Caenorhabditis elegans: one gene and its partners. The protein of the gene in region 1 purifies or fractionates together with the protein of each later gene. This does not show direct contact. Each region holds a gene or a part of one and is shown on either strand. Other genes may lie near its edges.

Region 1 (8,654 bases):
GGATCATTGGACAAGATTCAACATCAGATGGTATATGCTTCGGACGTAGTTCAAAATCGAGCATTTCAAATATTTCATGAAATATATACTCAAACAGCATGTCACAATCTTCTGGGTCGAAACACTGAAATTTAAAATTAACATTTAATATTTTGAAAAGAAATATTTTTTCACTCACCTCATCAGGCATAAATTCTTCAACCAACTGAAATTCATAATCCATACTATATTTACAAATTGGTGCTCTTGTCATACAATCCGGAAGTGGTGCATGTGTGATTAATGAGAATCCTTCAAATTCAAATTCCTCTCCATTTATTGCCATATGTGTTCTATAAAGTTGATTTTCGCTTGGCAAAGGTGTGACTCGAAGGGTGTAATAATGCAGGTTTTCGCCATTGCTGAAAAAAAATCATTTTTATTTTTAAAATTCTAAAATAAAATTACCTTTTCTTGCAATCTATAGCCTTATCTTCACCTGCATAATATCCATGTTTCAGGCCACAAGTTTTTATTGGTTCTGGACATCTACACTCTGGTCCTTCGTTTCCCAAACCTTTTTCATTGAATGAGATATCCGGATGAATTCCATTTGGATGAGTCTTCTTTCGATCAATTCCTTTTTTCAAAAGTGTGATTTGCCGTTCCTTTTCTTCGAAATTCCGCAATCTTTTCGCTCTTAAACAAGAACAATTGAAAATTACAAGAGGCAGCATTTTTTTGTGCCAAAAATATGGTAGCCGATATTTTTGAATTTTCATAGTTTTCCCACAAAATCATGTGTGATTTAATGTTTCATTTCAGTTTGAAAAAAAAAAACAAATCTGTATCGAAAAATCGATGAAAATTCTGCAAAAACACAAGTTTGAAAGTACAGTACTCTAAAGGCGCGCACATTGCATTCAACAAGAAATTGTCGTGTCGAGACCAGACACGGTATTTTTGCAGCAAACATCGAAATTTTTGCGTTTATCTTAAAAAATTAACATGGGTATTTTAGAGAAGCTGCATACTTTCTCTGTTGATTCCTCCGATTACATGTCTGTTTCTCATCTTTTACTTCTCCGGTCTTGTCCGCTTCAGGAGCTTGTCTGTTTGTTGGCTCTGAAGTAGAAGCTTCATCCTGAGAATCGTTCGAGTCATCAGACACATCAGATGCCGTAAAACTTTCGTCTCCTCCTTTCTGTTTTGGCGTTTTCCGGCCTTTCATTGAATGACATGGATGAATTATATAAGGAACATCAGCTTGAAGTCGACGTTTTGTTTTAACAGTTTCCAGAATTTTAGTTTGAAAATCTTGAAGTATTTTACTTGTTGTTGATTTAGCTTTGATCTGAAATAAAAAACCACATTTTTATAAAAACGAAAACGGTTAAATCGTACCATCATATATTTTTCAGCTTCTTCTGCTTTTATAACAACTCTATTCGATTTTATAAGCTCTGCCGAATGTGTAGAAACAACTGGAGGATCTATCATATAATTCGTCTCATAATCTTTTTCTGTTAATCTTGGAGAATCTCCAAATGGCAATGCTGACGTTGATTCAGTAGGCAATGGAATTTTTTCAACAGTATCAGGTGGGGCACTTGAAGTTGATGGTTGATTTTGAAATCTTCTTCCTAATTGCTGCATCATTTCTTCCTTGTGACGTTCCTGATACTCCTTCTGATATTTCTTTCTTCGAGCCCGCTTGTGTTTCGGGAAGTTAAGCGTCATTGAAATCTTTTCGTCCGACATCTAAATGAAAATCTAAATCTGTCTACAATTTCAGATGAAAACGTTAACTATGGTAATTGATTCGAAATAATTTATCGTATACAACACAAGCGATGAGCATAGAAATTGGAACTCTTTTCATTCAAAATTTAGAAAAAAATAAAAAGAAGCGAATTAAGCAGAAATTGATGCGAGTTCAGTATTATGCAGATTGGAGCAGGCGGCACGAGTTTAATACTCTTCTCCTTCCTCCTCGTTTCCTCCCTCGTTCGAGTCAGCTCCGACCTCTTCGTAGTCCTTTTCGAGAGCAGCCAAGTCTTCACGAGCCTCGGTGAACTCTCCCTCCTCCATTCCTTCTCCGACGTACCAGTGAACGAAGGCGCGCTTGGCGTACATAAGATCGAACTTGTAGTCCAAGCGAGACCAGGCTTCAGCGATGGCGGTGGTGTTGGAGAGCATACATACGGCACGTGGTACCTTGGCGAGATCTCCTCCTGGAACAACAGTTGGTGGCTGGTAGTTGATTCCGACCTTGAATCCAGTTGGGCACCAGTCAACGAATTGAATGGTTCTCTTGGTCTTGATGGCGGCGATGGCAGTGTTGACGTCCTTTGGAACGACATCTCCTCTGTACAAGAGGCAAACAGCCATGTACTTTCCGTGGCGTGGATCGCACTTCACCATTTGGTTGGCTGGCTCGAAGCAACTGTTGGTGATGTCATTGACAGAGAGAGCCTCATGGTAAGCCTGAAATCATTACTTTTTTAACAATTTGACATTAAAAATGTATACCTTGTCAGCAGAGATCAGTGGAGTGTACGCAGCCAATGGGAAATGAATTCTTGGATATGGGACCAAGTTGGTTTGGAACTCATTGAGATCAACATTGAGAGCTCCATCGAAACGGAGGGAAGCGGTGATGGAAGACACAACCTGCGAGATGATGCGGTTCAGGTTGGTGTAACTTGGACGGTCAACGCTGAGGTTTCTGCGGCAGATATCATAGATAGCCTCGTTGTCGACCATGAACGCACAGTCGGAGTGCTCGAGGGTGGTGTGAGTCGTCAGTATAGAGTTGTATGGCTCAACGACGGCAGTCGAGACTTGTGGGGCTGGGTAGATGGAGAATTCCAGCTTCGACTTCTTTCCATAGTCAACCGAGAGGCGCTCCATAAGCAATGAGGTGAATCCAGATCCAGTTCCTCCTCCGAATGAATGAAAGACGAAGAATCCTTGAAGACCACTGCAGTTGTCAGCGAGGCGACGGATTCTGTCGAGAACAGTGTCGATCAGTTCCTTTCCGACGGTGTAGTGACCACGAGCGTAGTTGTTGGCGGCATCTTCCTTTCCGGTGATCATCTGTTCTGGATGGAACAGCTTCTTGTAGGTTCCAGTGCGGATCTCATCTGAAAAAAAAAACAAATTTGAATTTGAAACGGTTTTTATTATTGCTTACCAACAACAGTTGGCTCAAGATCTACAAAAATCGATCTTGGAACATATCTTCCGTTTCCAGTATCGGAGAAGAAGGTGGTGAAAGATTCTCCATCGGCTTGTTGGTCTGATGGCATAGTTCCATCGGGCTGGATTCCATGCTCGAGACAGTAGAGCTCCCAGCAAGCATTACCGATTTGGACTCCGGCTTGTCCGACGTGGATGGAGATGACCTCACGCATGTTGAAAACGAACCTGAAAATTAACGGAAATTAGAAGAAATGAAATCATAAATGAACGCGGATAACATATGGCGTAAAGTACGAATGATAAAATCATAGGAGTCGATCAACTAGGAAACAAGGTCAACTCAATTATAAATAATCCTGTTGACAATTCCGGCTGAATAGTTTTCAGGGCAATAAACCAGATATAAACTTGGTACAAGGTTTACAACAAGTAAATAAAAACAAAACCAGGAACTTACATTAGTTAACGAGATGGAGAAGGTTTGGGATATAAAATTTATGAGCCTCCAAATGAAACAAACCCAATTGCATACATATGAAATGCTAGCTCTCAAGAGTATTGCGAAATAGCGAAAAAGACTCGGACCGTTGAAAACAGAGAGCAATTACGCCCATTGCATCGTGGTACATACACAGCAGTCAAACCCTATTGGGTTCTATGCATCTAGTCAAATGAGAAATGAAAGTCGGGCTGGGAAAGAAAACAGAGCTCTTCGTCATTAGATATTCTGGTGCGAGGAAAGGGTAAAACAACTCAAATTGGAAGACTAAAGACGACAATCTTTTCTGCCTTGCTCTAGACATCTGTCACTTGGATGAAACTGGTCAGAGAGGCAGTGCCGGGTCAGAGAGAGGAACGAGCGACGCTTGTCCGATTGGCCAAGGACAGCGGCGACCCTATTCCTCGGTGGACATGACTAGTAGTGGCCATCTGGTGTATATTGCGAAATAGGTTCTCCACTAAACCTTAATCCGATGTTCATGATATAGACGCTTGGATGTCCTATTCATGAAAATGCAAATATTCATCGGGACGATTCAGATTTCAATGCAAAAAATAATAAAACGAAGTTTAAGTTTCAGTAAATAAGCTATGATAAAATAAATAAAAATTAAAAACATCACAAGCAATAGCACGTAACTAAAGTAGAAGCCGAAATGCAAATCTATAATGATTTTATTAGCCGCTGGAGAAACGAATTCCCTAAAACTAAAGATTCTATTGAACACACAAGTTGCAATATAATCAAGAAAATTTGTTAACAAACAATAAAATGTGGCTCAATATTTACAGCATGTGTAGACAACGAGTCAACTTTCAAACAACTCCATTTTAGGAGCAAATCGAAGAGAGAGAATACGAGCGATTGAGAAGCGAAAAATGAGAAAGAATGACAGCCATCTCCCAATCCTATTGTCGTCTGTTTCGCGCCAAAAAAAGTGAAAATTTCTCCCGAGCGCGCCTAGTGGACGAAACGAATTCAAATCCTCTTCGCATTACGGTGTTTCGTATTGAGGAGCGTCTTGTGCGTTGCAACAGACGCGCGTAGTGTATGCCGAGTGTACGCCGAGTGTACGCCCGCCACTGAGGCTCCGTAAATCGTGCCAAGCGTTTTTGGCTCTTTTCGGCTATTGTTCGCATTTTCAAGGGTCCAATCAGAATATAAGTGTTCTTCAAAAAATTTCTGATTTTTCAAGAGGTTTATCTTTTAATTTAACCCTATTTCAATAAGGCCACCTTCCTTTTTTGATTTTTAGACTCCCGATCGATAATTTTCTTCATTCGAAATCGAATTTATATTTAGTCGTTTTTGATACTTGAGAAATACAATTGTATTTTTCAGATGGCTCAACTTGCTAAGACGGCTGTTGCCGCCCTTTCGAAGAAGCTCGTCGCTCCAGCTGCCGTGGCCCGTCGTACTTTGGCCACTGAAGCCTCGCCAGAAGACTACGGATACTACCCAGATCCACTTGAGCACGCTACCGGACGTGAAAAGAAGATGCTTCTCGCTCGTCTTGCTGGAGATGATGTGAGTTTTTGTTAATAAAATTTAACAATTTTCCCAATAATTTCCAAAGTATACCCCATGATGTATCAATTTAGCTAATTGTGAGCTACTTCGCTCTCGAGATTTTGTCTTGAAGTGTGAGTCGTATTGAACGAACTTTGTCGAAGCTGATCTGAGGGAGATTTGCAATTTGAGTCGTTATCGTATCTAATACTGGTTTTTAATGAGAAAGTGTTTACAAAATGAAACCCATTTAGTAAAAGTGGCAAATTATCTACTATTTCTTCATCTTTTCAAAGTTAAATAATAAAAGTTTCATTCTTCAGCGTTACGAGCCAAAAGTCTACTATCGCGCTGAGGCTTCCACCAAGCAGAAGCCAAATTTGGTCCCATCTCACTACGACTTCAGAATCATTGGATGCATGTGTAAGTTATATTTAAAAGCATGATTGATTCAATTAAACAACTATTTTTCAGGTGAGCAAGATTCCGGACATGTCAATTTCATGACAATTCGCAAAGGAGATCCAAAGAGATGCGAGTGCGGACACTGGTTCAAGGGAGTCGACGCCGACCCAGAATCCATCTAAACAATTTTCAATGTAGATTATTGTTCCGACTTATTTTAGATCGCTCCATCAGTGAAAATAAAACGCGCTGGTTTGAAGACAAACCATTCTGTTTCTAGAGTTGGTTCAATTCGTTTCTTTGTTTTTCGTCAAGATGTCTCCTATTTCTGTAAATTAATTTTTTATCAATTTAACCTACATTTCTTACATGAAAAAATGTTCTTCGTAGGTTTTCCCTGACAATCTCCTGGATTAGGTGGTTAATGTTAAAAATGAACAAAACAGGTGGAAACAACAATCAATGATGCTGTTTCTCCCGTCAACCTCCACAGAATCTAGCTGATAAAAATCTGAGTTCAGATGCCTCGCTCCTCTCATTTTGTTATTGGTTTTCAAAATCACGTGCTGTCACTAGCACATACAATTTTGTTTTTAAATTGGCAATTGTTTGCCTTCATTTCAACAATTTTAAGCTTTCGTGTTGTCGTAGATCGAATTTATACATTTAGAGCCCAGGCTTGAGCATTACATCAAAAAGTAATAACTCACTTCTTCAAAACATTTCCAATTTTCGAACCATTAGTGACTTCCTTTTTCATTTTATCATTTAAAAACATGACGCTAGTTACGTAAAACAAGTTTCCGTACTATTTTGACGAGAACCTTACATTTGTAACATCCTATTTTGAAGTTTCAAAGACTAGAATTTTGTTATTTTTTCGGGTCTCGTGTTCCACTATCGCTTTACCCAATCAGACTGTTTCTCTGCGTATTTTCTTTTTTTTTAAATTCTGATTTTCAATGATAACAGAGTTTCGTGGTCAATGGGAAAACTCGTGTTTGCCCAATTTTCTTGTTCAAATTCAACTTTTAATAGAACTTACATAAATAACAAATCTAGGTAATATTTAGATTGTTTCTTATTAAAAAAAACATAAATTAATTAATTTTAATTAAAAACAAAAGTTAGGAGATTTTTTGCCAGTGTTCTATGACGCCTGCGCTTCATAAACTCTAAACGAGCTTTCTCGCGACAAACCATGGCGCAGCTTGCTGCCAAATTAAAATTACCCCTCCCTCCATTGCCATCTCAAAAATTCAGAAAAAAAACGGCGTTACAAGTTCAAAACCAGTAGGAACTCAGTATTTGTGTGTCTCGAGGGTTGATTCTCTTCTCATTGACAGCCTTCTCGCATGTGCGTGTGTCTGTGTGCGCATCTTTTCGTCTCTTTCTCGTCAAAATCAATATTCTCCGTGAGACGAAATAGTGTAACAGGATGAAGAGGGTGGGTAGAGATGTTAGAAAGCTCCTGCTGAACTCGCTTTGGCACTGGAACTCTTTTTCATCGTGAAGAAATTCCTTTGAACTATTTTTTCCTACTAGGGTTTTTTTCAGTTAGTGTTATTCAAACTCATATCCATTTTATATGATTTTTATTTAATCGTAACAGAATTTACAATGAATCAGCTTTCCCCCCACGTGACGTCAATTTGCCATCTTGTTATTCGTCGTCTGACTATTCTGACAACGATAGAGTATCGAAAATCCCCACGAGAAAAATTACTAGACGCTGAGAAAAAAGGAAACCTTTCTCTCATTTTTTTGTTTCGCTCAACTACTCTCTAACATTTTCTTCGTTTTCCGAAACGGAAATCTTGGATAATCGGTTGTTATGGCCCGTTTCGGTGATCCAAACAATTTTACTTTTTCATACATTTTCCATAAAAGCCTCCAAGCTTCAAAAATTGATTTTTTTCCAATTTTATCAAATTTCTCTTGCCTTAATGATTAAATAATTAATTAAGTAATATAAGTTGAGGAATGTGTTTTAACAAAAAAAAAATGGATCGTAAATACTGTCAAATTTTTTGAAAATACAATTTTTCTAAATATTTCTAATAATCTTTTTTAATTTAGCAAAAATTAAAATGTTGAATTAATTTCGAATTCCCGCAAAAATGAATCACCTAGTTTCGAAAATTAAAAATTCCATGTTATTGTTTTTATCTCAATTTCTTTCAGGTTATCAAGTTTCCCTCACGGAAAATTGATGAAAATTTGGCAAAAAATGTTTCAAATTAAATATTAAAAATATAGATTAATGCGAGGGAATTTCGGAAAAAATCATTCTAAAAATTTAGAAAAATGTATAATATGAAATCAAATATGTCTAAAAGTTTTATTCAAATTCATTATTCAATTTAAAATTCCTGAAACAGTAATCCAAAAATTGAAATAATGCACCGTTCACTTCATCATTCTTTATATTTCCTTGTTTAGCTATGCGAAAATAAATTCGGTGAAATCGTCATAATATGATTCATCTTTGAAACGTTGCTTTCTATTCAAAAGTTCTCTGTGTTTTCTATATAGAAAGTAAGAAATTGCTCTATTTATACAAAAAAAAAACGTTTATTTTTCTTTTCAAATGCAGCTTTCTCTTCAATTCCGTTCCACTCTTCACACACATAAAACTTTTTTATACGTTTTCATTGGCACCTGATGCCAAAACGCCCTCATCTAATCTTCTAGATCTCTTCCTACGTCATCATATCCATTTGTGAATACATTTAGTACGATAACATAAATAATCTCATCGGAAATACATCAAAGAGCCATATTTTATTGCATTGGAGTATGACCACGAAAGTCAGAAAATGAAAAAAATCTGCGTTTTTGGTGATAACAGTAGTTTCAATCAAGGGTGCACTAAACATTAAAAAAGGAAAAAAAAATCTAAAAGTTGTTTGAACTATTCTATTGATCATCAGAAATGCTTTATATTACACACCTGATTGACTTACTGCTGCATCAGTGATTGTTTTAATTTAAAGTAGATAAATCTGATTCTTCGGTTTATTATTTTGAGCTGTTTTTTTTAAAAACAATTATT
Region 2 (7,868 bases), 4.3 Mb from region 1:
ACAAACTACAAAAAATTGAGAGCCTCAACCAACGTTTTTAATGCTTTTTTGGTAGAGAATCGAGATTTTTTGAATTTTTTAACAATTTTTTCTTGTAAAAATAGGCAGGAAATGTGAAAAATACACTATTTTCAGCACAAAACTGCATTATTTGTGGGGAAAATTGGATTTTTTGGTTGAGTGAGGCTATAGACTACAAACTACAAGTATCTCAGCCTCAACCAACGTTTTTAATGCTTTTTTGGTAGAGAATCGAGATTTTTTGAATTTTTTAACAATTTTTTCTTGTAAAAATAGGCAGGAAATGTGAAAAATACACTATTTTCAGCACAAAACTGCATTATTTGTGGGGAAAATTGGATTTTTTGGTTGAGTGAGGCTATAGACTACAAACTACAAGTATCTCAGCCTCAACCAACGTTTTTAATGCCTTTTTATCAAAAAATCGTTATTTTTTTCACAAAAAATGGACAGAACTCACAAATTGGTTGAGAAAAGTTGAAAAAGGGACACTTTTTGGCATTAAATTGCATCATTTGTGGGGAAAATTGTATTTTTTCGTTGAGTGAGGCTAAGACTACAAACTACAAAAAATTGAGAGCCTCAACCAACGTTTTCAATGCTTTTTTGGTAGAAAATCGAGATTTTTTGAATTTTTAAATCATTTTTTCTTAAAAAATAGGCAGGAAATGTGAAAAATACACTATTTTCAGCACAAAACTGCATTATTTGTGAAGAAAATTTGATTTTTTCGTCGAGTGAGGCTATAGACTACAAACTATAAAAACTTGAGAGCCTCAACAAATTTTTTTTCACTAATTCACTCGGAACTTTCTTGAAAATTCGAAATTTTTGGCAATTTCTCACAAAAAAATCGGCGAAAATTGCAGAAAAACGAACAAAATTCGATGAAAATCGCAACATTTTGAGCAAAAACGTTCAACTTTTGTATTTTGTAGTCTCTTCGTGACTCAATGATGGTTGAAGCGATGGGACTACAAACTACAAATTCGGTTCAGCCTCAACCAACGTTTTCCGTGCTTTTTTGTTACAAAATCGACATTTTTTGATTTTTTTTCCTCAAAATATGGACAGAACTCACAAATTGGTTGAGAAAAGTTGAAAAATTGCCAATTTTTAGCACTAAATTGCATTATTTGTGGGGAAAATTGATTGATTTCATTGAGTGAGGCTATAGACTACAAACTACAAGTTTGTGTAGCCTCAACCAATTTTTTTGGTTTTTTTTATTCGAAATTCGAGTTTTTTAGTCATTTTTTCCGAATTTTCTCGCTAAAATCTAACCAAATTGATTGCAACGTCACATCGATAATTAACGAGGTCCTGAACGAGCTGTTTATAGTATAAAAGTGCGTAGGCGGCCCATAATCCTGATATAACCGAGTGGAATAGTGAGACACATTCGTTGGAGATTCGCCATTTCTTATTCGGTGGGATAGCCTGGAAAATGTGGAGTTTTTAGGTAAAAATTCGGAAAAATTTATATTTTCTGGCTGATTTGCTGATTTGGTTGAGGCTCAGACTACAAACTACAAGTTTGTGTAGCCTCAACCAAGTTTTGAGCACTTTTCAGGAGTTTTGGGAAAGAATTTCAACGTTTTTGTAAAGTTTTTATTGAAACTTGTAGTAGAAACTCTAGAAATAAGCGATTTTGATAGAAATTTCAACAATTTTCGGCGTTTTGAAGCAAAAGCTGATTGGTTGAGGCTAAGACTAAAAACTACAAATTTGTGTAGCCTCAACCAACTTTTTTTTTGATGAAAAACTGCTTAAAATGCTGTAAAATCGATATTTTTCAACAAAAAATGCTCAAATTTCGAAAAAAAAAACTGCTTTTTTAGCTCAAACTTCCTAGTTTTTGGATTTTTTTTGCAGTAAATTTCTGAATTCTCACCGACAGATCTCTGCTGTCGGGCTCGGGCTCCTGTTCGACCTGCTCGCCGGCTTCTGCCTCATTTTCAGGCGGATTTTCAGTATTTTCAGCTTCTTGACCGCCTCTCCGTCTCCTCCGAATGCGGTTTCGGATGTCGAAAAAGTTAAAGTTCGGCCACGTCCATTTGCCAAATAAGTACCAACGAACGATGAATTGCAGGGCTCGGAAGAAGGCAAATGAGACGATTACCTGGAGAAAATGGATTTTTGGGCCTAAATTCGCAGAAAATCGGGGGTTTTTGGCATTTTTTGAGTGAAAACTCACAAAAATAATCGAAGAAATCGTTGTTGATTTCATTGGAAAATTAGAAATAAATAATAATTAATTTTTCACGAAAAATTATTTAAAAAATTAATTTTTTTTTGAGTTTTATTTGAAATTATTTGAAATTTCGAATTTCTTACCCATAAAAACATTGTTGGCACTGGGCCAAGAAGATCCGTCAACAGCTCCGCCAGCTGCCGCATTTTCCAGAACTGTCTGAAAAAAAACTGATAAAAATTGGAAATATTACGGAAAAATAGGTAAAACAGTAGGTTTTTGGGTGAAAATACCCGGAAAATTCAAAAAAATTCGCTTAAAAAAGCTATAAAAACGATTTATTCAATGAATTTCTACAGGAAAAATTAAAAAATTAGAATTTTTTTTCGACTCTAAACTCTTCGCCAGGTTATTTCTGGGACGCCAATTGAGTAATAGTAGATTTGACCTGAAAATATCGATTTTCGGCATTAAATTCCACCAAAAATCCTACATTTTCTCTCGACAAATCCTCCAAAGTGGCGACTCGCTCAACTCCGTGCTCGTATCTGGCGAAAACTCTGCAAAAAACCGCAATTTCACCCAAAAATCGATAATTTCCCACCTTGGCACGATGCCAGACGCCTCACGAATCAGAATTGGGAACTGTGGATTGGCTTTTTTGATTCCAACATAGTCGTTTTCGATGAACGCGCGGACTCCCGCCGATGCTGGACTTTTCTGGCAGACGTGGATGCGAATCTCGCGAAGAGCGGTGCCGGCAAGACGGACAGACATCTGAAAATCGATATTTTAAGCTTTAAAATCAAAAAAAAACTTTAAAAAATGCAGAAAAATCCAATAAAACCAACAAAAACCGATTATTTTTTTCGAAATTTATTATAAAAATAAATAACCCGTGATCCCGCCCACTTTGGCAAGCGCGGCGCGCGGTATTTTGCAACTCCTACGCACAGTTTTGCTGTTTTCATGTTTTTTGAGCAAAGTCTTTGAAAATTGCTGATATTTTAGGAAATTTGCCTAAATTTTGCTAAATCTATCAAATTTTAGTGCTAAAACAAGTTTTTTCTCAATTTTTTGAGTTAAAAATCACGAAAAACCCATTAAAATCATCAAAAACCAATGACTCCGCCCCTTTTTGCAAGTGGCGCACGCAATTTTGCAACACCGCCGCACAGTTTTGCGGAAGACACTGCAAATCGAAGTGTCACGTCATCGCACATTTTTTCAGTTTTTCAACGTTATTTTCGATATTTTCAAACGAAAAACCACTTGATAAACTCAAAAAATCACTATTTTTACAGTAATTAATCGCTAAAAAATGGGCCGCGCGTCGTTTGAGTACGACGAAGTCGGCAACACATTTTACTATGTGCTCGTGGCATTCTACGCGATTATTCTGTTCCCGGCGACCTACCTATGCCTTCCAGGAGCCTCGAAACCAGGTAAAAATCGATTTTTTGGCTTAAAATTCATAATTTTTTCGTATTTTTTCGTATTTTTAGAACCAGAACACGTGATCAACGAACACGAGTGCCAATGCGACGGTTGTGACAAGAAAAGACGACAAAAAGCGGCGAATAAGCCGTGGCGACGGACTAAAAAGATTATTACCATCGTTGTAAGGCTTTAAAACTGAAAAATCCGGAAAAAATCCACTAAAAATCCCAAAAAATTGCAGGTTCTCGTTGTAGCGTGGGCAATTTTCGCGATAATTGTGAAAAAAACGACTGAAATCGAGCAAACTCACAAGGACTATGACCCGTATCAGATTTTGGGTCTGGATCAGGGCGCCGACGAGAAGGCCATCAAAAAGGCCTGGAGAGATATGTCAAAGGTGCTGGAAATTGGAATTTCGGCGATTTTTTACTGAGAAACCCCTATTTTCGACATTTTTCAGCTTGAAAATCGAAGAAAATCGAACTTTTTACTGTTTTTTACCTCGAAAAATGCAGTTTCCAAGTATTTTAGATGAAAAAATTGTTTTAATTTTTGGTTGAGGCTCGCGAATTTTGTAGTTTGTAGTGTTAGCCTCAACCAATTTTTGTGCGAAATCTCCGTAAAATATGGATTTTTTCGTGGAAAATGCCTCGAAAATCGAAATATTTTTGCAAAAACCTGATTTTCAAACACTTTCTCGCCAATAAATCTAATATTTAGGCTATTTTTACTGGAGAAACCCAATTTTTTCATAATTTATTGCAATTTTTACTCTAAAACTAAATTTTTTGCAATTTTCGGTCGGTTTTGCGTCAAGATCTATATTTTTGGTTTTTTTTTCCGCTGAAAACCAATTTTTTCGCTAAAATTGTTGAAAATTTATTTTTTCCCACAGAAAAGCCTCAAAATCTTGAAATTTCACTCCATTAGATATTTTCTCGAAAAAAAAGCTTATTTTCGACCTTTTTCGGCTTGAAAATCGATTTTTTTGACTTTTTTTGCCTCCAAAATTGCAGTTTCCAGGAATTTTAGGCTAAAAATTTGCATTAATTTTTGGTGAGGCTGGAGATTTTTGTAGTTTGTAGTGTGAGCCTCAACCAATAATCATGCATTTTTGGTTGAGGCTAATCACTTTTTGTAGTTTGTAGCGTGAACCTCAACCAATTTTTGTGCGAAATCTCTGTAAAATAGGGAATTTTTTTGTGGAAAATACCATAAAAATCATAATTTTTCGCCCAGAAAACTGAAAATTTGGCTATTTTTACTGGAAAAGCCCACTGTTTCCCAAATTTTATTGCATTTTTTCACCCAAAAACTAAATTTTCGGGCACTTTTATTGAATTTCCGACAGTTTTTCTCGAGAAAACATGAATTTTGTCCTGTTTTCGCCTTAAAATTTCTGAAATTTCAGTAATTTTTGGTGAGGCTGATAGTTTTTGTAGTTTGTAGTGTGAGCCTCAACAAATTTTTGTGCGAAATCGCCGTAAAATAAGGAATTTTTTGTGGAAAGTACCATAAAAATCATAATTTTTCGCCAAAAAACTGAAAATTTGGCTATTTTTACTGGAAAAGCCCACTGTTTCCCAAATTTTATTGCAATTTTCACCCAAAAACTGAATTTTCGGGCACTTTTATTGAATTTCAGACAGTTTTTCTCGGGAAAACATGATTTTTGCCCTGTTTTCGCCTTAAAATTTCTGAAATTTCAGTTTTTTCCCCACAAAAATGCTCAAAAATCTGGAATTTTTACCCAATTTTTTGCAGATTCACCATCCGGATCGTGGAGGAGACGCTCAATTCTTCGATAAAATCGCCAAGGCTCACCAGGCTCTCACCGATAAAGAAGCTCGCGAAAACTGGGAAAAATACGGAAATCCAGACGGCCCAACTGCCACAACTTTCGGAATTGCTCTGCCCAAATGGCTTGTGAGCAAAGAATACGGACTCTGGGTGCTCGCTTTCTATGGGCTCATTTTTATGATCATTTTGCCCGTTTCTGTTGTGAGTTTGGCGCTGGAAATGGCGGAAATTGGAAATTTTCGCGAAAAATCGATTTTTCAGGGAATGTGGTGGTATAGCTCGATCAAATACAGCGCTGACAAGGTTCTTCTGGACACCACACGAATGTACTATTATTTCATCAATCGGACACCGAGAATGGAGATTGGAAGTGAGGAAAATCGATTTTTCCACAAATTTTCAGCCAGAAAATTGCTTTTTTGGCGATTTTTCACCCAGAAAGTCGGATTTTTGGCAATTTTTCATCCTGAAAATTGATTTTTAGGCAATTTTCCATACAATAATGGAATTTTGAAAGTTTTCGACGATTTTCCGCTAAGAAATTCGGATTTTTGCCAATTTTCATGCAGGAAACTTGAGTTTTGACTGGTTTTCACCCAGAAAATCAGATTTTTGGCAATTTTTTTGGGCAAAAAACTCAAATTTTGACGATTTTTACAAAAGTCCTGGTTTTCCACGAAAAAAAAATTCAAATTTATTACAAAAAAAAAACCACTAATTTCAACAGAAAATCGCAATTTTGTGCTGGAAAATCCAAATTTTCTGGAAATTTATTAATCTCAAAGCTAAAAATTCGGTTTTTCAGCATTTTTGCCAAGTTTTAAATACATTTTCACCCTGAAAATCAATTATTTTTAATTTTAGGAATGATCGCCGTGCTCTCTGGATCCTTCGAATTCAGCAAACAGTACAATAAGGAGATTCAGGAACGAGAAACTGATGATTATGAGGTTCCGAGGCTCATGAAACAGATTGCCGGTGTTAATGATAAGGGAAAAGAGCAACCGTTGAGCCAACCGTATGCACTGAAATCTCGTGTACTTTTACACGCGTATCTGTCGAGATTACCACTGGAATCGCAAAATGATGCGTTGGAGGAGGATCAGAGGTTGGAAATTGATGGAAACCCAGGAAAAAGCATAAAAATCGCACAATTTTGATGGAAAATTCATAAAAATCGATGAAAAATGACCCGAAAAGCGAAAAAAATCTGGAAAAATAATTTAAATTGCCAAAATTTCACTATTTTTGGCGATTTTGTGATAAAAATTGGTTGAGGCTTACATTACAAACTACACAGTTTGGGAGTCTCACCCAAATTTGGTTGAGGCTCACGCTACAAACTACAAATTGTCGTAGCCTCAACCAATTTTTTTCGGCGAAAAACGGTTTGAAATGTGTTAAAATTCATATTTTTCCACAAAAAAACATCCAGAAAATTTGTAAAATTTGATCTTTTTCGACGAAAACTGCTCAAATTTCGAAAAAAAGTGAGAAAAATTGGATTCTCAGACTACAAACTACAAGTTAGCGTAGCCTCAACCAAAATTACAAATTTTTGAATTAAAATTTTCATTTGTAATGCATTTTTTCTGAAAATAGCATTAAAATTGCCAACATTTCACTATTTTTCGCGAATATTCGATAAAAACCGCTTTAAAATACCGATTTTTAATTGAAAATCTCGAAATTTCCTCCAAAAATCGCCAAAAAAACCCATTTTTCAGCTACATAATCACCCGAATTCTGCGTTTCGTCGAAGAAATGGTGAATTGCTCGCAAAATCTGATGAACTACTCCCAACACACGAAGATTTCCATCGAAACGTTCGATAATCTTCTGAAATTGCAACCAATGTTCGTTCAGGCGCTTTGGCAAAAGAATAGCCCGTTGCTTCAGCTTCCACACATTACAGACTACAATTTACAGCATTTGAGAAAGGTTTGTGCCGGAAAATAAGCCATTTTGTCGAAAAAACCGTTAAAAATGAGCTATTTTTGATGAAAAATGCTCTAAAAATGAAAATTTTAAGTCAGAAATTTGTAGTTTGTAGTGTGAGCCTCAACCGAAACTCATTAATTTTTGGTGAGGCTACGCCAACTTGTAGTTTGTAGTCTGAATATTCAATTTTTCCCATGTTTTTTTTTCGGAAATTGTGCAGTTTTCGTCGAAAAATACGAATTTTTTCAAATTTTCTGTCTGTTGTTCGTCGAAAAATATCGATTTTTCAACGGTTCAAGCCGTTTTTCGCCGAAAAAATTGGTTGAGGCTACGACAATTTGTATTTTTGTAGTTTGTAGCCTCTAGCCTCAACCAACAATTTTTGTTATTTTTTAAACAAAATACGTCAAAAATACTAATTTTTCTGAGAATTTACTGGAAAATTTGTCTCTTTTTCTGTGAAATACGATAA
Region 3 (2,857 bases), on another chromosome or scaffold:
TTTTCTTGATTTTTTTTGTTAAAAACTGATTCAAATCGGTTTGTATAGATTGTCGACCTGAAAAAAAAACATAATTCGACAGAAAAACACCTATAAAATTTGCTAAAATGTAAACAAAAACACTTTTTTTAAAATTGTAATGAAAAAATTGTTCTAAATCAGTTTTTTTTGCTCAAAAATTTGTGATTTTTCTGTTTTTTGAACTGAAAAACGAAAAAAACTGGTTTAAATCAATTTTTAACAAGAAAAAATAACGAAATTCGCTGCAAAAACGTTTTTTTTTTTAGTTTTCTCATTAAAAATTTGTGTTTCTCCTGTTTTTCGACTTGAAAAACAAATTTCAACAAAAAAAAAGAAAGAAAAACGCCAAAATTCTGGAAAAATGCACTAAAAAAGCGGCTACCATAAACTTTCGCGTCGAGACCCCTAAATCTGTGCGCCTTTGAGAAAAGTATATCAGAAAGAAATTAACTTTTTATCAACGCGAAAATTATTAAATGAATTTCAAACTTTTATTTTTGAAAAAAAATCCGAAAAACAAAAAAAAATGATAATAGAAAATATTTCTACTGCAGCTAAAAAGATAAAGAAATACAAAAATTATTCGAAAACGTCTTCCTTGTCGGCGATGTACTGGAAGATGTCGCGTGGCGTCTTGAAGCGATCCGCATCTCCGTCGGGAATCTCGAATCCAAACTCTTCCTCCATCGCCATCACAACTTCTACGTGATCCAGAGAGTCGAGGCCGAGATCTTTCGAGAAATCCGAGTCCATTGTGAGCTTCTTCGCGTCGATTTTGTCGTAGAGTGAGAGAACCAACACAATTCGCTCCTCGAGTGTCTTTTTGGTCAGTGGAGCCTGGAAAATGTTGTTTTCTTTTTGCGAAAAAATATTTTTTTTTTGTTAATTCCCACCTTTGCAGAGTATTGTCTGATTTGGAAGCTTGGTTTCTGTGCGGAGAGGAGTATTGGGGTGATGACTCGTTGTTGGACGGACGCATTGCTCAGTGCACGCACTGAAACAGTGCGGAGAGCAGCGGAAACGGCGACTCGCAACATTTCTGAACAAATAAATAATTAATAATAATTTTTCGAACCGAAATTCGAAAAAAATTTGACGGGAAATCGGGAAATGACTCATCGAGCCTGAAAAATAAGTGAAAAATAAAAAGAAACGCCCGCAAGCGTCGTCGGGTTTGATGCCGAGTACGCAAACACCGTCACGTCACATTGCACAGTCTTGCGAATTCAAATTAAAAAACAGATTTTCGTTCAGATTCGTGATGAATTCCCTAATTCCACCGCCAACTTCTGAGCAACAAATGAACATGTTCCGGCTCCGCGACAAAATGAGCCTCCTGAATGCAGAATTTCTCAAAGTCATCAACGGATATTTCACGGAAAAGAATCATTATGATTTTGTAAGTTTAAGGTTTAAAACCTTTTTTTTATGTCTAATTAAAGATCTAATCTTTCAGTCTGGAACTATGAAATCATATATGGATCATGTGGCACAGCTCAAGCAGATTTATAAGGTCGATGATGACGTTGCAGCCGATATGACAGTGCCCAGACGAACCGAAAACTCGTCTGAAAGTTCTGGAGAAACAGTTGCTCCGCGGAAAATAGCCAAAGCTGTGCGGAAGAATGGAACGCCAAAAAATCCGCTGAATTCTACAGTTTTCGCTGCCTCGAGCCCGGCGGCGACAGTCGCGTCTGTGCCCAAGTTTGGCGACATTTCAGTGATAACCAAGGAAACGCCAGCTCCACTCGCAAAAACCGCAGAGCCACTCGTTGCTCCAGCAGCTCCAGCGACCGCCCGAAAACGCGCGATTCGTGGCGGAGGACCTCTCGGTGGAGCTGAATCAGTGGTTTTCAAATCGGGCGAAGACGGACAAGCCGCCACGTCGAGTGTGAAGATTCCGGCTACGACGATCAAATTTCCGGAGCCCACCAAGGATTTCTGGACGAAAAAGTCTGATGCGCCGGCGGCTCCGAGTAATTCAGGCTCACTTTTCGCATTTTTGGGAAAAGAGTTAGTATATATATAATCGAAATTGGAAAAAATTCATTAAAATTGAATTTTCTAACATTTTGCCACATAAAAAATAGCATTTTCGTGGTGAGAATGCTACATTTTACGCTGAAAAATTGTTTTTTCCAACTAGAAATCGAAAATGTCGGCTTTTTTGCAAAAATAGCAATTTCAGACTATTTTCTATTAAAAAAAACCCACCAATATATCAAAATTTCAGTGGCGACAAGCCGAAGGAAACTCCAAAATTCAGTGGATTCTCGTTCGGAAAGAAGCCCGCCGAGCCTTCCGAAGAGCCAAAAGCTGCGGATTCCACACCAAAATTGACATTTGGCTCACCAAAAGAAGCAGATTTGCCGAAACCAGCTAGCTCTCTATTCGGAGCCAGTCCTTCTAAGCCTCTGGTGTTCGGAGGAAGCTCCGCAGACTCTACCACATCGGCTCCAAAACCTTTCTCGGCTCTTTCCACGGCAGCTTCATTATTTGGATCAAGCTCTGCCTCCACCACCACCACCGCCACTCAACCATTATCATTTGGCTCAAGCTCCACTGGAGGCTCAAGCCTTTTCAGCGGATTCGCTGGTCTCGCACAGAAAGCCATGGAAAATCAGAATCAGGCGAAACCAGAGGGTTCTGGTGAAGACGATGAGGGAGAATATGTGCCTCCGAAGGTGGAAACCGTCGAAAATCAGGAGCCGGATGCAGTGCTGAGCAGCAAGTCAGTTTAGGAGCATTGTTTTAATGGAAATTTAAATTTTTATTTTTTCAGAGTATCCGTGTTCAAGTTCACCGGAAAAGAATACACAAAGCTTGGAGTTGGAAT
Region 4 (8,430 bases), on another chromosome or scaffold:
TCAGAGCGGAGGAACTCAAGTGCCGCTGGAAAAGAACACTGTCCGCTTTATCGACAATTTTTCGATGGGAACTCGTGGAGCAGCGAGTGCAGAGTAATTTAAAATGAAAATCAACGAAAAAAGAATTGAATTTTCTGCAGATATTTCCTGCGAGCCGGCTACGCGGTGATCTTCATGCACCGCGAGGAGTCCCTGAAGCCGTTCTCCAGGCATTTTCCGAATATTTTCAATTCGCTGAAGCTAGATGGGGAGAATGTTGTGTGTGATCTGCCGAATCTCGCGCAAATTCTGCGGGACAAGTTCAAGTACGAGGAGAAAATTCTGTACATTCCGTTCAAGACCTTCGATCAGTATATGTCACGTCTCGAGCAAATTTGCATTCATCTAAATCCTCTGGGATCCCGTGCAATGGCTTATTTGGCCGCTGCGGTTTCAGATTTTGTCGTCACCGAGCTGCCAACTCACAAAATCGCCAGCAACACCGAGCTGAGCCTGGAGCTCAGCGTTGCTCCGAAAGTTATTCAAAAAGTTGTCACCTGCTTCATCCCGAATGCGTTTATCGTCTCGTTTAAAGTTTGTTCTTGCGATTTTTGATCGAAATTTGCTATTTTCACCGATTTTTTTGTGCAAAAATGTCCAAAAAATGCGATTTTATCGAAAATTTTGGTTTTCTCTCCCGTAAACCACTTGGAATTGGATATTTTTGCCACTTTTAATCGAAAAAAATCCCGAAAAAATGCAAAAATTATATTGACGGGTCTTGGCACGACCACAGACACTTTTTGAAAAAAGGTGTGCGCCTTTAAAGGGTTACTGTAGCTTTTTTTTCCACTTTTTAGCAAAAAATTGTTTAAAAAGGACGAAAACCTAAAGAAACCGCAAGAAATTGGTTGAAATTTAACAGTATTTTTGAAATTTGAAGTGAAAATGAAAAATAAAACGAAAACCCCAGGAAAAAATGCAAAAATTCCTTTGGCGGGTATCGGCACGACCGCAGAAACTTTTTAAAAGAAGGCCTGCGCCTTTAAAGGGTTACTGTAATTTAATATGATTTTTTTTTCAATTTTTAACTAAAAAATTATTGAAAAATGGCAAAAGGTGTTTTAAAAAAATCGGTTTTTTTTTTCAATTTTAGAAAAAAAAACTATATTTCAATATATTTCAATGTCCAATGTACTTTTTTTTCACGGTTTTTTCTCTTTTTTTTTGGAAGAAAAAGTACATAAATTCAATTTCTACTGTATTTTTCGTGCTTTTTCTCAATTTTTAATCAAAAAATTAGTTGAAAATGCCCATTTCCCCCCGCTAAATTTCAATTTAATTCGTAAATTTCCAGCTAGAAACGGACGAAACAAAGCTGATTCCAAAGGCAAAAGCTGCTCTCTCCAAGTACGGCCATCAACTCGTCATCGCGAATATGCTATCAACTCGCAAGCAACGTGTAACTCTCGTCAGAAAGAATATTGAGCAAGGAGAGGAGATTAATCTTGCTCCGGGAGCCCCCGAGCTGGAGATCGAATCGTTTATAATCGATCGTGTTAGCGCTTTACACAGACAATTTATTGATGCACAAATGTAGATATACAGTCATGATTTTCACGGAAAATGAATAAATATTTTAATATAGTAGAGATCATGCATCGGCCATTGGTGGTGGGCAGTGCTCGTTGGGATGTTTCTCACTGTGAAGACGTCGCAAGTCTCCAGATTCGACGACAGATGACGAATGGACGGTTGAAGTGTTGGCGGCGGATGGGATCTGAAATAATATTTGATTTTTCAGGGGGAGTTTGTGAGAAAAATGATGGAAAAATCAATTTTTTATCACCCTCTTTCTGAAAATTTGCGTTAATTCTGAAAAAACCACTTTTTTTACAAAAATTTTTTATGGTCGGTCAAAATATCGAAGAAAAAAAAGCCAAATTTTGCTAAAATCTGAAATTTCGCACACTTTTCTTTGTCACAGCCGCTGGATTTTAATTTTTCTGAAATTATCACCCTTTAATCCTTATTTTGGTGATTTATCTCATTTTGATCATTTTTGGGTGCCTATCGGCCTAAAAGTTGTCTCGATCAACGAATTTCCGCGAGATAAATCACCAAAATAAGGATTAAAGGTTGATAATTTCAGAAAAATTAAAATCCAGCGGCTGTGACAAAGAAAAGTGTGCGAAATTTCAGATTTTAGCAAAATTTGGCTTTTTTTTCTTCGATATTTTGACCGACCATAAAAAATTTTTGTAAAAAAAGTGGTTTTTTCAGAATTAACGCAAATTTTCAGAAAAAGGGTCATAACAAATTGATTTTTTTTCCTAATTTTTCTACTAATTTTTAGAAAAAGAAACAAAAATCTTGGGTTTCATTGGTTTATATACACTTTTAATATACACTTTTTGTAAGTTTTCTACGGGAAAACTCGAAATTTAAGGCGATTATAATAGCTTTTGTTGAAAAATTTGGTCATTTCTCAATTCTTCCAGCAAAAAATCGTAATTTTCCATACAAAACGTTTTTTTCTGACAAAAATCAGTTTTAAAAGAATTTTCTGTTTGAAGGTGAAAATTCAGCGGTTTAGTGCGTTTTCAGTGAAAATTGGTTTTTCTGCCAAAAAAATCACCACTTCTTCTCGATTTTTTCCATTTATTTTTCAAAAAAATCAATTTTTCCAGTGAAAAATTGAAAATTTCGCTTTAAAATCTCTATAATTGTCGATATTTTTACCATTTTCTTCTCCGAATTAACCTTAAAAGCGAACATTCCATGCTGAGCCGGAGCTCTTGGAGGCATCGGATCCTGTGACGGAGCATCTTCCATAGATTCTCTTGGATGCTCCGATCGATCAAATGAGAATAAAGAGCCGAACATCATGTGCTGAACAACTGGAAACTTCTTTAAAACTTCTCCTTCATACATTTTAAACATTCCACTATTGACTTTTTTCCAGTGTGGAACTGCTGAGATATTCCAAAGTTGATTTGAATGTTCGTGGAAAGGGCCGGTTTTTGTTTGATTGATAAAGTTTACGCAGTCCAGGAAAAGACTTGTGTGGGCGTGAGTCTCAACAATATTCTTTTTTAGGTAACTGTCCGGCACGATACTTTTTGAACCTGAAAATCGAAACAATTTAAGATTTTGGAGCGGATTTTTGGCTATTTTTTGGCATTTTTCAACATATTTCAGGCCTATATAAGCTTTGGAAATTCAAAAGTTTTTTTTTTTGTAATTTATTGGTAGAAAACTAGATTTTTAGGTGATTTTCTAGTAAAATTTTATAATTTTTTTTCTGAAATTTTCACAGAAATATGCTTTTAAGCGGGGTTTTCTAGAAAAATTGTAGAAAAATTTTTTTTTGTCATTTTCGGTGCCTTTTTTAAGTTTCACAGGAAATTTAGTGAAAACTAGCTTTTTTTGAAGTTTTCCTACGAGGAAATGTTGTAGATTGAAGATTTTAAACGATTTTTCCCGGATTTTTAATAGGAAAATCGCGAAAATTGATGATTTTTAACGGAGAAATTGAGGATTTTTCAATGAAAAATTGTGAAAACTTATGATTTTTAAAGGAAAATTGCCAAAATTTATGATTTTTTGGCAAAAATCGCAAAAATGTGATGATTTTTTAATGAAAAATCGGGAAAATTGTTGATTTTTTATTTAAAAAAAATCGCAAAAATTTGTGATTTTTCGACAAAAATCGTGAAATTTGATGATTTTCAACGAAAAAACGGAAAAATGCATGATTTCGAATGAAAAATCCTTGAAAAATGAACGTTTTTTGAACAAATACTGTGAAAAAAGACATTTTAGATAGAATTTTCCGACAATCTGTGAAAATAAGTCGGTTTTTCTTCGGAAAACGACTTAATAATTGTGGTTTCTTGAGAATTTTTGAGTTTTTAATGGAAAATTCAGCTATTTTCCTGAATTTCAAGACTTCTAGTTGCTCCAACATATTACCAATAAGCTGAGCGCTTCCAAAAATGAACGGCGCGAACTGAAAATCGTCAATCGCATGAACTCCACGACTTCCAGCCGGCTCCATCTTGAATCTGGTCTGCAGATGACGGCACACTCTCAAATACTTGTTAAAAATGCGAAGAACGAGCACTTTGTCATCATTTTCTGTGAAAACGCCCAACTTTTGCAGGCAAAACAGCAAAATTAGGAAATTCGCCTCGTGTCCCGAGCCGTAATCGATTCGAGTGGCGTTTCCGAAGGATTCTGTGAAATATGGAACCAGTTCGACTAGAGCATCGTGGACGTTTTCCGGAAGAACGCTGGCTAGGAGATCTGGGGATTCCTGGAATTTTTAAAATCTTTTTAAATACATTTTTGAGCTAAAAACCTTGCAAAGCTTCTCATAAAACTTTCTGTAAGCTTTATTGCCAAATCTTTGCTCGGAAACATCTTCCAGAGGAATTTCCTCAGCCCATTTCTGAAAAAAATCCATTTTTTATTTTTTTAAATCTGGTTTTTCGTAATTTTCCGTAATTTCTCGAACCTCCAGCTTATCCAGCATGTCGATAAAGCTGATAACCAAGTCTGTGCATCTCATGTCTGCAGTTGTATGAACTCCAACTACAGAATCATTCAAACGATGCAAGAAAGCCAGGTACTCCTCGTAAGCCTGCAAATTTCCATTCATAATCCTTCAAATCGATAAAATTTCTGTTCTACCTTGGAAAAGTACCACGGATTCAGGTCGAACACATTTTTAATCATCTTTTCCGGCGGTTTATACGAGTTTTCAGCCATTTTTCTGGAAAAAAATCTATTTGTTTTGATTTCTAGAACTTTGTTATGTAAAAAAATAATGCAGCAAGTGCGCTCCAACGCAAAACCCCATTGTGGAGCGTTTTGTGCGTGAGAGGTGTATAGGAGTGTGTGGCTCGCGCAGCGTCTTTAGTGAAAAATTTTTATTGATTTTAAATATTGTTTAATTCGGTTTTCACGGATTTCTGAGCTTTGAAAATAACCGCCCGTGTTTAAATTTCAATTATATTCAATTTCAGTAATGCCTGTCGAAGTTGAGGTTCCCCCAACCACTTACGAGAGACTCCAGCAATACAAGGTGAATTTTTAGCGTTTTTCTTCATTTTTATCGATAAAAATTTACAGGAGAAGTTCTCCGATGCTCTCCGTCATCCAGACTCGCCAGACTGGTACAAGAAGGAGACCCACGAGTCTGTGAAGAAGGATCTTCTCTGGGCTGCTCCATACGACGCCAGATTCCCACAGGTTGGTAACTTTATTTAAAATTTATTATATATTAATTAATAATAAAAATGTACAAGTTTTCAGGTCCGTAAGCAACGTCAATGCTTCGCCTACTACGTCGATTTCCATCGTTGCAATGAGCTCATGGGACAGGACTACAAGCCGTGCAAGTTCTTCCAAAATGTCTACAAGGACTTCTGCCCCGGATTCTGGACCGAGAGATGGGACGAGCTTCTTTCCGAGGGACGTTTCCCAGCTAAATTCGATCGCTAAATGAGATTGTTCGATTGTATTCGAGAACAGGCGTTTTATTAGTGCTGATATTCGATAAAAAGTGTCACTTGTAAAATATTTTAAACACTTTTATTTCTTATGGCGTTATGAGACGCTTGAAATATCTCATTTTTTTTAAAAATCATATTTCCCCCAAATAAATAATTTTCTCAGTGGAAACCATGGCTGACTCAACTCGCGTCAGCGAGAAGGAAATCGAGCGCCGCGAGACCTTTATTCGCGCAGGACACAGAGCTCGTCACCTGGCCGATCCATTCACATGGAGCTACCCATTGAAGGGTGCCAGTGCAATGCTCGGAATCTCGCTGGCTTCGGTTTATTTGCAAAATCGATGGAACAAGAAGCCGTACTACTACGCAATTGTTCCACGGCTTTTGCTCATCGGAGCCGCCACCGCCGCCGGATACGCTGCCGGAGCACTTCGAGAGAGACACTATCAGACGAGAGACGCAGTCATCGAGCACTACATGAAGCTTCATCCAGAGGATTTCGACCATTTTAATGATCGTGAGTTTTGGAATTTGCTGAAAAATCGATTTTCAGATTTTACTGCAATTTCGAAAAAAAAACCCGGCTGAATTCGATCAAATTTGAAAGATTTCGGCTTTTTCCCCCCAGAGAATACCGTATTTTTCGCGATTTTCTGTGATAAATGCAGAAAATATATACATTTTCCCCGAAAAAAAAACGCTGAAAAGGAGAAGATTTGGCTAAAATGCTCGATTTCGGACCAATTTTTGCATTCAAACACCCAAATCAATGATTTTTATCTTAAAAATAGCAAAAATTGGCGTGAAAAACCGATTTTAGCCTAAAACACCATGGAAAACTACAAATTATCGGTTTTTTCGTATTTTTTAACAGTAAATTCGTCATTGTTCATGTAAAATACTATAAATCACCGATTTTTATGTTAAATTCAGAAAAAAAATAGTGAAAATGGCGCATTTCAGCTTAATCTTCTCCTCGAGGAGTACACGAGCTGCGTAAATCGACACATCACAGAAAACTTGAATTTTGGACTAGAATTCAGTTTTTTTTTCGCAATTCTAAGTAATTATTTTGGAAATTAGTGCGAAAAAAAGGGAATTCTGGCTAAAAAATTCAAAATTTCTGGGAAAACGGAAGATTTTCTAGTGAAAAATGCAAGAAAATCATCAAAAATTCATGGAATCTATTTATTTTTCAGGCAGTGGACGTTCATTCTCTCAAGTTCTTCTTCCATGGTATCCACGCAGAACCCAGTACACCAGATACGACTGAACAATTCTCTCGAAGTCTCTTTTTAGTTCATTATTGTAAATTAAATGAAGAATTATTGATTTTTTTCCCGGAAAATTCTCATTTTTTTCATTTTTCAGCATCCATCTGGTCTTTTGAGCCGTTTTGAATATAACTAATTAACCCAGAAGCAATTTTGGGGCAAAAATACTATACTATATCCTGGGTCTCGACGCGACAATTTGTGTTAAATGCGAAGAGGGATGCGCCTTTAAAAAGTACTGTAGTTTTAAACTTTTGTTCCGGTGGTTTTTATTGATTTTTTATAGTTTTTCTCACATTTTATGAGAATTTTTGCATATTTTTTTAACGAAACTAGAATAAAAACACATAAATTTCTATAAAATCTGAAAAAAAAACTATGAAAAATCGATCAAAAATTTAAAAAAAAACTCAAAATTGTCGTGGCGAGACCAGTTTTTTGCCACAAAAATCGCGCAAAAAAACGCCAGATTTCAGCATAATGGAAGCATCTTCGGAACAAATTTTATTGGATCGAAAAGATCGATTAATTGCAAAACTGGAACAAAGAAATGAAGAACGAAAAGTGCAAACTGAAGAATGTTTATCGAAATCTGAAGGAGCACAAATCGATAATTTAATGGCGGAAATTAAATCGGATTTGGAAGCGAAAAAATCCGTCGATTCGCAGAAAATCGACCGGCTTCGTAAGAAATTTCCCCGCCTCAAACAAACAAAATCGATAATTTTCTTCAATTTTTCAGAAGAATTTCTGGCGTTCTCGACGAGTAACCGGCAAACTAAAACAATTCAAAATTTCCTTGAAGACGTTCGAAAACAGAAGCTCGCGCTGAATTCTGGACCCAAATTCAAGGGTTTTTCGTTTTCAGTTCGGTGGTTTTTTTCACTGATTTTCTCAGGCAACTCAAATCTAATATGAAAATATTAAATAGCAATATTTTTGTAGTTGGGTGATATTTCAAGATAAAATCGCAATATTCCGAGACTTATTCGAAATCTTTTTAGATTGAGCAATCTTTTGAGAATAATTCGCAATATTTTGAGGTTGATTCGCAATATTTCTGAATCTGAAAATATTACGAAAAATTCGTAATATTTTGAGATGACATAGCAATCTTTTGAGATTGGTTCGCAATCTTTCTGAAATCTAAAAATATTACAAAAAAATGTGTAATATTCTAAGATTAATTTGCAATCTTTTTGCAGTCCATAAAGATTACAAAACACCATTTCCAAATTTCCATCGGCTTCACATGATCGTGATATATATACAACAATTATGATTACTGTTTCGTTCTAAATTCTCTTTTCTTCCAAATGATAAAAGACTTTTCAAAGTAAAAAACAGCTACATGAAAATCTATATAATGGAGTATCTCACTGTTAACGGATATTTGATTTTTCGTTGCATATTGTAGAAGGAGTTTTTGCAGAGAAAGCCACAGAATTCACAAATCTGTCCACTCATGTAATTTTTTCTAGATAATTGGCCGGTCATATTACAAATTCAGTCAAACAATCACGAAGATTGGTCGAATACATTAAAGTAGACTTACAACTATTCATTCACGCGTGATGCGTTTGAGATTTTCTGATTTCAATTGAAATCATAAAATATTGTCAACAGCAAGCATGTTCCCAGTATACTCATCATTTTAA

The links.
Region 2: the proteins of cox-5B (region 1) and ndua-2 fractionate together in Caenorhabditis elegans (co-fractionation; one large-scale study listed by BioGRID). This does not show direct contact.
Region 3: the proteins of cox-5B (region 1) and ndab-1 fractionate together in Caenorhabditis elegans (co-fractionation; one large-scale study listed by BioGRID). This does not show direct contact.
Region 4: the proteins of cox-5B (region 1) and cox-6B fractionate together in Caenorhabditis elegans (co-fractionation; one large-scale study listed by BioGRID). This does not show direct contact.

Annotation. Positions count from the first base shown.
Region 1 is NC_003279.8:9,783,983-9,792,636, forward strand, and holds cox-5B (COX5B-domain-containing protein), read left to right. Parts: upstream 1-5,026; coding exon 5,027-5,212; intron 5,213-5,238; exon of another isoform or gene 5,239-5,508; intron 5,509-5,517; coding exon 5,518-5,617; intron 5,618-5,668; coding exon 5,669-5,781; 3' UTR 5,782-5,869; downstream 5,870-8,654. Other genes in the region: drsh-1 (Ribonuclease 3), read right to left, coding at 1-124, 179-401, 448-678, 1,014-1,333, 1,384-1,740; tba-1 (Tubulin alpha chain), read right to left, coding at 1,951-2,466, 2,512-3,125, 3,176-3,408, 3,641-3,642.
Region 2 is NC_003279.8:14,108,760-14,116,627, reverse strand, and holds ndua-2 (NADH dehydrogenase [ubiquinone] 1 alpha subcomplex subunit 2), read right to left. Parts: upstream 2,993-7,868; coding exon 2,820-2,992; intron 2,776-2,819; coding exon 2,709-2,775; intron 2,664-2,708; coding exon 2,625-2,663; 3' UTR 2,543-2,624; downstream 1-2,542. Other genes in the region: TLC domain-containing protein fld-1, read right to left, coding at 1,306-1,461, 1,916-2,143, 2,359-2,421; dnj-29 (J domain-containing protein), read left to right, coding at 3,537-3,660, 3,721-3,836, 3,897-4,052, 5,420-5,656, 5,717-5,825, 6,320-6,563, 7,183-7,396.
Region 3 is NC_003281.10:11,914,653-11,917,509, forward strand, and holds ndab-1 (Acyl carrier protein), read right to left. Parts: upstream 1,061-2,857; 5' UTR 1,059-1,060; coding exon 915-1,058; intron 859-914; coding exon 601-858; 3' UTR 501-600; downstream 1-500. Other genes in the region: Nuclear pore complex protein npp-16, read left to right, coding at 1,283-1,420, 1,478-2,034, 2,255-2,752, 2,804-2,857.
Region 4 is NC_003281.10:2,781,193-2,789,622, forward strand, and holds cox-6B (Cytochrome oxidase c subunit VIb), read left to right. Parts: upstream 1-5,009; 5' UTR 5,010-5,011; coding exon 5,012-5,068; intron 5,069-5,115; coding exon 5,116-5,235; intron 5,236-5,298; coding exon 5,299-5,487; 3' UTR 5,488-5,562; downstream 5,563-8,430. Other genes in the region: Y71H2AM.6 (DNA/pantothenate metabolism flavoprotein C-terminal domain-containing protein), read left to right, coding at 5-93, 141-573, 1,337-1,579; Y71H2AM.20 (Serine/threonine-protein phosphatase 2A activator), read right to left, coding at 1,634-1,759, 2,743-3,107, 3,955-4,297, 4,343-4,432, 4,499-4,624, 4,675-4,752; nduc-2 (NADH dehydrogenase [ubiquinone] 1 subunit C2), read left to right, coding at 5,670-6,015, 6,698-6,771; tbcc-1 (C-CAP/cofactor C-like domain-containing protein), read left to right, coding at 7,253-7,457, 7,515-7,639.